Linked DNA regions of Callithrix jacchus. The protein of the gene in region 2 binds, or shares a complex with, the protein of the main gene of each other region. Links are inferred from orthologs where the notes say so. Each region holds a gene or a part of one and is shown on either strand. Other genes may lie near its edges.

The links. Proteins that work in one complex are often made in the same cells at the same time.
Region 1: the proteins of DDN (region 2) and MAGI2 are in contact, whole or in part, in a crystal structure (PDB 6KKG), measured with the Mus musculus proteins. The link is inferred for Callithrix jacchus from reciprocal best matches to the Homo sapiens genes DDN and MAGI2. Residues at the interface, in NP_001013763.1 of Mus musculus: Asp222, Arg223, Pro224, Pro225, Pro226, Tyr227, Val228, Ala229, Pro230, Pro231, Ser232, Tyr233, His237, Arg238, Thr239, Leu240, Gly241; in NP_001164217.1 of Mus musculus: Glu308, Met309, Ala310, Tyr311, Thr312, Glu313, Gly315, Tyr318, Ile320, Asp321, His322, Lys325, Thr326, Thr327, Ser328, Trp329, Asp358, Tyr361, Tyr364, Val366, Asp367, His368, Arg371, Arg372, Thr373, Gln374, Phe375.

Annotation. Positions count from the first base shown.
Region 1 is NC_133512.1:71,716,673-71,720,290, reverse strand, and holds part of MAGI2 (membrane-associated guanylate kinase, WW and PDZ domain-containing protein 2), read right to left. Parts: intron 3,011-3,618; coding exon 2,889-3,010; intron 2,539-2,888; coding exon 2,410-2,538; intron 954-2,409; coding exon 771-953; intron 1-770. UniProt on the Homo sapiens protein: Seems to act as a scaffold molecule at synaptic junctions by assembling neurotransmitter receptors and cell adhesion proteins. Plays a role in nerve growth factor (NGF)-induced recruitment of RAPGEF2 to late endosomes and neurite outgrowth.
Region 2 is NC_133510.1:70,561,083-70,565,421, reverse strand, and holds the start of DDN (dendrin), read right to left. Parts: upstream 2,854-4,339; 5' UTR 2,766-2,853; coding exon 2,557-2,765; intron 2,169-2,556; exon of another isoform or gene 2,145-2,168; coding exon 215-2,144; 3' UTR 1-214. UniProt on the Homo sapiens protein: Promotes apoptosis of kidney glomerular podocytes. Podocytes are highly specialized cells essential to the ultrafiltration of blood, resulting in the extraction of urine and the retention of protein.

The sequences.
Region 1 (3,618 bases), on a different chromosome or scaffold from region 2:
AAGGTCCAATTTAATTTCTTCATTGTTTTCTAGATAAGGAAATTAATATTTATAAGTTATGGGACTTATCCAAGATTATGGGCCAGGCAAGAAAATTTAAAATCAGACTGTGAACCAAACCTCGTTCATTACTTTTTCATTTACTCTGTATAATTTTCATATTTTATACATTCCTGCCCTTAGCAATTTGCCTCTGTATTTCCACATGAAATAAATTTCAATTATAATTTGAGTAGACATCTGAGTAATTATATATGAAAAATAATTTTTAAGGACTAGAAAATACCCATATAGTAAAACATTGTATGGGGACCTATACCAACTTACACCAGTTTAAAATTTTTTCTATAAGATGAGCATGTATATTTCAATAACTAACCTGGATGATTTAACATGAGAACATTAAAAGATTAACACAGATTTAAAAATATTGTGGCTGAATATAAGTTAGAAAAGTGTGAAATGTTAATTACACTCCTAAGAACAAACTCTAGATATAAATTAGACAAGTGTCAATCTCAAGAGTCCATTGAAGCCAGCAAACAGAAGGGGCAGTCTAAAAATATAAGGCAAAAATTATATTCAAAATTGTTTCCAAATTAACTCAACTTGATATTTTTTAACTTAGGGAAACATAATTTATACTTTATGCTTTTCGTAAACTGAAGTGACCTTTGTCTTTTGAATAAAAACACAAAAGAAGCTCCTTATATTTGCCTTTAGAAAAAAAAAATTTGCAAAACAATTTTCGAAAGCATCAAGGACCTTACCTGTTTCCATTTTTCCATCTTGTGCTGCAGGCCCATCTGGAATCACACTTTTCACCTGCAGAAACTCGTCAGGCTCGTCTCCACCAATGATGGTAAATCCAAAACCCATGTTGCTCTTTTTTAGGGTGGTGCTGAGGAATGTTCCCTTCAACTGGGATGCATCCCGGGTGAAGAGTGGTTTTTCTACATTGGCCAATATAAGTTAAAAAAGAAAAAGGCATGTTCAAGGTAAGTTCTCAGACAAGAGAAAGCCAGCCCCCGAGCAGCAACAATCCCCGGGGTGAATGTGGGGGTCTTAGCAAATGCAAGCAGGTGGTGACTACAAGAGGAGCAAAACTATTAGAACTTCCTACAGGTAAAGAGCAGTCCCAAGCATCCAGGGAAAGATGAAAAAGCTGTTTGGTTTGGAGACAGACTTTTTGTCAAATCAGTTTCCATTCATTAATTTGGCCTTCTTGGGCTTAAAAAAGGCTGTGTCAACAGACGGCCAGAGCCTTCAGAGAAAGAGGAACAAGGAGCTCAAATCATCCAGACACATCTGGATCTGTTCCTCTTGTTATGAAAGATTCCAGGTAGGAGGTATGTGTCAGTGGCCAGTCCTAAACTAAGCCTTGAAGAAATAAGAGTAAAAAAATGAAATGGACTTGTGATTTTTTTAAGTGAATGAGAGCACAACATTTCAGCATATACAGTATAGCAAACAGATAAGCAGTGGAATGTGATCACATACTCAAAGGTCCAGATTGCTTAGAAAGAGTACCTGTATGTGGGACTGACTTTTGTTTACACCCCTCTATTGTGAGATACTATGAAGATAACCAGATATATAAATTGCTATTGGCTCCCATAGTGTTTAGTATACTCTAAAATGTGAGCAAAAGGCAAGCCAATGTTTTTAGATATAATTATGAATGTAAAGGTAACACATTTTGTAACAATATGTTGATAGATTCAAATCATACAACTGCCTGAATAATCTGAATAAGCAGTCATATAGATTTACCTGCTAATTGATTATATAATATGCTTTTCCAGCTACAATCTGTAATAAATATATTCCTAAGCATAATAAGTGCTTTAAAAATAACAGTCACACTAGGAAATGGAATTAATATCTGCTTTAAATTCCTTCACAGATAAATATTTTACATGATTCTTTAAAAATGTTATATTTAGGTGATCTGATTTAATATTTGTAATAGCCAAATCATACATGGAAACTCAGTTAAGTATTCTGCATGATACCTTTTCTTGTTACATTTTGGGTGGTATGTAATCAACTCTAAAAAAATGAGTCATTCTCTTAGACTTTTACTTTTTCTGTTCACTTACATGTCACGTGTATCTTTATTAAAAACAGAGCTTCTTTAAAACATAAAAACCATAGATAATCTTTTCTTCTGTGTTTTCTTTATCAAACGAATGTTTATAATTGGAGAGAAGTTCATCAGGAGACCTTTACATTCATTTAATTATGCTGTAGTATATGGCGTGAAAATTAGCAGGCAAGACTAGACCTCCCGACTCCAAAGGCTCTTTGGTGCTTTTATTTAGCCCACTAGCTGTGAAAAGTTTGTGCAGCAACTCATCCCACTACGTGGCTCCCAGGTGTAGTCCCGCAAGCAGCCCTGGGACATACCGAACAGCCAGGGCCTCCCTGCTGGGTCGCGCTGATGGTAAGACAAGTCATCCACGCTGCGCGACCTCTCCGGGGCAGCGTGGGGGCGGATGAGTTTGGGCCTAGGTAATGTCGATGAGGAGCTGTCTACTGTCACAAAGGAGAACAAGCCTCATTCTTGTGCTTGGTCTTTTAAGGACAAACTTATGAGTCTCTATGAATCTCTGCAGTTTACAGTGCCACTATCAAAATCCCTTCATCTCTACCTGGCGGCATGCTGTACATTCCTACAAGGTACTGCCTGAGGCTTTAACTTCATCTGTGGTTGCTAAAGGCATTAGTTTAGAGAGAATTTAGCAAATCCAGCTAAAGCTAATAGAAGGGTCTGGAGAAAGCAATCAATTTTTCAAAATGGTCCAAGCTACAGACATATTTGGAAGAGCAGGCAGTTTGACAGATAATTTTCCCTTTGAAACATCACATGCTGACAGGTATCATACCTCGGAAACCTGGGGCCTGCAGGGGCTTTGTTCCAAGTTCTGTGTGGGGCATGTTATGTTGCTGTAGCTTCCTTTTTGCTTCCAGAACAGGATTTTCAAACTGTGTTCTTCTATTTATGTGGCTAAAAAAGAAAATTTCAAATTAGGACAACAGTGGGGCAAAGTCATTTTAAAGGCCATACGTATGGCTCTAGAGAGAGCAGGAGATTAAGGGTCACCTTATCTGATTACAGTCAAGTGCCTCACCCAGCACGCAGTCAGGCTCCAGACTGGGCTGGCCTGTGTACAACACACATTTCTGTGACAAGTGCTGAGTTCTCAAAGGGTCCATCATATGCTATTCTGTTTACATGATGCATGATTCAGCCAAAAGAACTAGAACGTGCACTGGCTTTCTGGTCTACTGTGTTTCTTTGAGGTGAGTTTGATGCATAAAAATAAGTGGTCAAGAAATGAAATTTTTACTGAGTGGTGAAGAAAAGAGCATCATCTGAGCTTTGCAAATTTGCCATATCCAACAGGATGAACGTGAAATAAATTCACTGATAGAGTGTAGCAACCGGAGTCTGCACTGTTTAGAGTTGGTCCTGGATTGAGAGACTGGGAACCTAGAGAAAGACTCCCAAGATGTTTGCAGAAATGACAGAAGACATATACAGGACATTTTATGCTGACATAATGTAAAGTAGAGAATTCATATTCTACATCGTGAGATGGCAAACTTGTAGGT
Region 2 (4,339 bases):
GGCATTAATTAAATCTACTGCTCACTCTCACCTCTCCTGAAACAAAATCATGAATGGGTATATGCTTCCCTTTCTTTCATTTCTATGTCGAGGATGGGACCAGGTATGGTAAAGATACAAGGAAAAAAGAAGTAAAGGAAATCTGTGGGGAAGAATGGGGACCAGTGGACCCAAGGATGGATGTGTTGGGGTCACGAATACAAGAAGGGGCCCCTCACTGCCTCTTCCTATTTCCCTGTTGGGTCCCTTTGATGTCCCTCACCCCGAAGAGGACCTCCTCGGTTTCGCTGACGACGTCTACAATCTCCCCGACCCTGTCACTCAGTTCCGCTGTCTTTCCACCTTCCTCTGGCGGACTGTTTCCAACCCCGGGCAGGGTCCTCTCGTTCCGCAAGGAGGCGCCCAGGGTTTCTGTGTCGCTTCCATCAGAGGAGCCGCTGTGGACGCTGAGCTCCTCAGCTTCGTCAGTGTCCGAGTCAGGGGCGGTGTGGCGGCGGATACGGGACACGGCTTCTCGCAAGGCCCCGGCGTAGGGCCCTGGGGTCCGCGCCCAGCCCCGGCCTGAGCGCCGCTGGACCACCGCCACTTCCGAGCCCTCGGCTCTGCTCCGGGCTCCCGAAGCTGCTGGGCCTAAGGCTTGGTGCTCTGGGCTACCTGGCTGCGTGGGGGCGTCCCGCAGGTTTACTTCGGGGGCCGGGAGCCCCAAGATGCTGAAGGTGCGCTCCTCCAGTGAGGAGTCCCCCGGCCTCCCGCCCTCAGCTTCTCCCCCGCCGCCCTCGCTAGGCTGGTGTAAAAGGTGACTGCTTGACGGCAGCTTTTGGCAAGGGGAAGGAAAGATTGTGGCCCGTTCACTGTCCTCCTTGCCGGGCTTCGATTGGCTGGGGACATCCCCTACCACGCGTGGCACCCCAGAGGGCAAAAGCTGCACCTGCTGGGTTCGGGGGGTTGGGACATATTGGGATCGTATCACTACGCACGTGGCGTCAATGACAAAGACGCCTTCCCCACGGGATGGGCCCTGGGAACTGCGGGGCAAGGTGTGGGCACGGCGGGTCGCCTTCCAACACTCCAGGGTCTCTGGTCCTGCCCCCTCTCCAAGACCGAGGGATTCTCTCCATCCCGTGCCTCCAGGAGCCCAGGGTCTGGGGAGTGTCTGGCTATGGCGGGGCGGCTGCTTTTTAGGGGAGGGAATCCAGCATTTGGGGAACCAGATCTGTTCTCTTCCTTTTTTCCCTTCCCTCGAGCCCTTGATGTGGTGCCTGGACCTGGGAGCGGGACGCGGGGCACTGGGAGCCGCAGTTGCAGACCCCGCAGGAGCTGTCTCGGTGCCTGGGCTCCCTGTAGCTTTGACTTGGGGATGGCTGTCTCTACCACTGTTCAAGTCAGCAGCAGCCAGCCCCAGGCTTTTCTCCACGAACCCCTTGCCGGACTCTGGCCTTGCTCTGGCTGCTCCACAGCCTGGGGATCCCCCCAAGAGACCCTGCCCGTGTCGGAGACCCCAAGCCCCGAGGACGTCCCGGTAGATCCGAGGATCCAGCCTCTTCTTCATGCGCCCTCCCTCTGTCCTGGAGGGAGTAGGAGCTGGGGCTGATGAAGCGGGCGCTTGGGAGTGCCCGGGTCCACGCTTAGTCCCCAAGGTCCTATGGGGGCCTTCGTAGGAAGGTGGAGCCACGTAGGGTGGCGGCCGGTCCCAGCGGCGTCGCGGGGCCGTACTGGCAGAGCCTCTCAGCAGCAGGTGAGCCTCGTAGCTTGGGGGCCCCGGCCGCCGACCTCCCCAGGGCCCCGCCCACGCCGACCCTGGGTCGCTCTGCGGCTGCGCGAATGGACGGGGCGCTCGCCCCACCTGTGCCAGGAGCTCCGGCCGCGAGGGTGCAGGGAGCCCCGCCGGCTGGGTCGCCCGAGGGGCGTTTCGGGGCTCCGGGCGGGGCCGACCCTGGGGGCTCCGTCTGGCCCCGCCAGCCTTGCGCCTTTTTCGCTCTGTCTCCTTGGCCTCCCGCTCCTGCGACGCCGCTTTCCTTTTCTCTTGCTCCCGAGCTCGGACCTCGGCCAGGGGCCCCGCCCGCCAGTTGGTCGCCTCCTGCAGCACCCTGGAGGCCCAGGGCCGGCGGGGCGGCGGCTGTGGGGATCCCGGGCGCGGCCCACACCTGGGACAATGAGCAGGAACCCAGGTGAGCAGTTTGTGGGGGAAGGGAGCCGAGGTCCGGGGAGCTGGGAACACTGGAGACCGCTTGGGGCAGCCATAAGAAGGGGTGTGTGTGAGTGTGTGCGCGTGTGCACGTGCGTATATGTTAGGACTGAAGTCGAAGTGGGACTCCTCGCCATCTCTCCATGCACACTTTAACAGCGTCTGCCCCATCTCACCTCCTGCCCTTTCTCACGCCCACTCCTATTCCCCCAAACAACCGGATGAGTCAGGCCCCAGCCCTCGGGAGGGGGCAGGGGAGAGAGGCGTGGGAAAGAGAAAGGGGACCAGCAATGCTCGCTAGTGCCTTCGGGGAGGTCCGGACCCCACTCCCCGCCCCACCACTCTCTTCCCCTCACCCCTGCTTCACTCACGTGCGGTTCTGGAACCCGCGAGCCCAGTGGCTGGCCTGGAAGTCCATGGGCTGTCGAGAAGGGGCGCGGCGACTATAATGACAGGAAATAGTCTTCACTTCGATCACCAACAGCTTGGACTTCTGCACCCAAAGGCAGCTGCCAGACTCCTCATCCTGGAGCTCCTGGGGGCTGTCAGGCCCCTCGGAGAACAGTGGGCCATCCAGCATCCTGCCCCACCCCACCCCGGCCCCCCACCCTCCCACCCGCCCCAGGAGCCCCCTCCCAGCCCAGGGAGCCGGCGACCACTGCAGAGCCGCGGGCCCGGGGACTGGGAACTATATATACCCGGGCACACGTGTGTGTGCCTGTCTCTGTGTGTGCGCGCGCATGTGACACCGCGCGGGCTGCTCCGCGCTGCTACCTCCCCCATGTGCACGGCCGCCCCCTGGGGCCCGGGATTGGACGCCCCTTCCCACTGCTGTTGTCCCCCAAGCCTGATGGGATCGCACGAGTGGGCGGGGGAGGGACTTATGATTCTTGACAAGCTGACAGTGCCCCCTCCCCCGCCCCTACTTCTTCAACCTTCCTGCCGTTTTAACCCTTTACTCCTCTGCCTGTCAGGTTGCCTGACCGCCAGGGTTCTGCCCCTGGCTTCCTGCCTCAGATTTCAGTTTCCCCAAAACGGAGTGGTGAGAATGGAACTCAAGGTCTCTGCCTGCTACTCTGCTGGTTTCCATGGGGTTGGGGTGCAGGAGGGGCTGGCCCACGGCTGGGGGGCTATTTTTAGCGGCAGTGGCTGTTCGGGTACAGAGATGAGATGAGTAACCAGCTCCCATGCGGTGGAGAGAGGAGGCGGTGGCTTTCACCAGGCTTTTGTGCGACTTTGGGGGAGAGCTGCCTTCCCTAAGCTCAAAAAGGTTGACCCCTACACCCTTATCTCCTCACCAGCTCAGTGCTGCCCCTAGGACTGCTGGTACAGCAGGACACAGGCACCTACCTTGGCCACCCAAGCTGCCCTCCCAGTCCCATTCTACATGTTTGTCCTTGAGCAGCCAGGGAGCCGTCCCGCAGCAGCAGGCTTTCACCCCGAGTCCAGACGCCAGGATGTGGGGGTTATAGTGTTCTGTGCCCACACAGCTCTGCTCAGCTTTATGGAGGACAGAGTAAATGAGTATGCACTCTCACCCTTCCAGAGGGGGATGGAGGAGGAATGGTGTGTTTGCTTGGCAAAACTAATCCCCTAGCAACTGAAATGACAAAAGTGGCCCTTATTTTTCCAATGTAGAGCTCCCCCTTACCACCACGATGCCTAGTTCACTCAGCCCCCACCTGAAGTGGTGCTCCAGATGCTCACCTTTTGGGCTGCCTCTATCCTGGGGGGCTGTTGCTTACATCCACATGATCCCTCCCCCTAAGCTTATACCAGGTGTCCCCTGATTCACCATGGTAATGTTAGTGGCAGCACAGCCCACGCCAATCCTTCCATGCAGAGACTTAGCAACCATGCCTGGCAACCATGGCAGCAGCTTCAGTGGAGGGGAGGGGTGCAGAGAGAGGGGAAAGAGAGTGTGTGTGGCAATGATTCCTCGGGAAGAAGGGATAATTTGCCTCTCTGGAGAAGAATAGGTAAGAATAGAAGCCTGTGAGTCCCAAATTTTATCCCTTGTCTTTCCCTCAGCTTCATCCTCACACTGAGACTGATTGGATGGGTTTTAGGGGGAAATGGGAGAAGCAAGAGTTCCCAATTAGTTTTCCACTGATGTACATGGAGCCCTTTGGGTCCAGACCCTTCCTTTTAAGG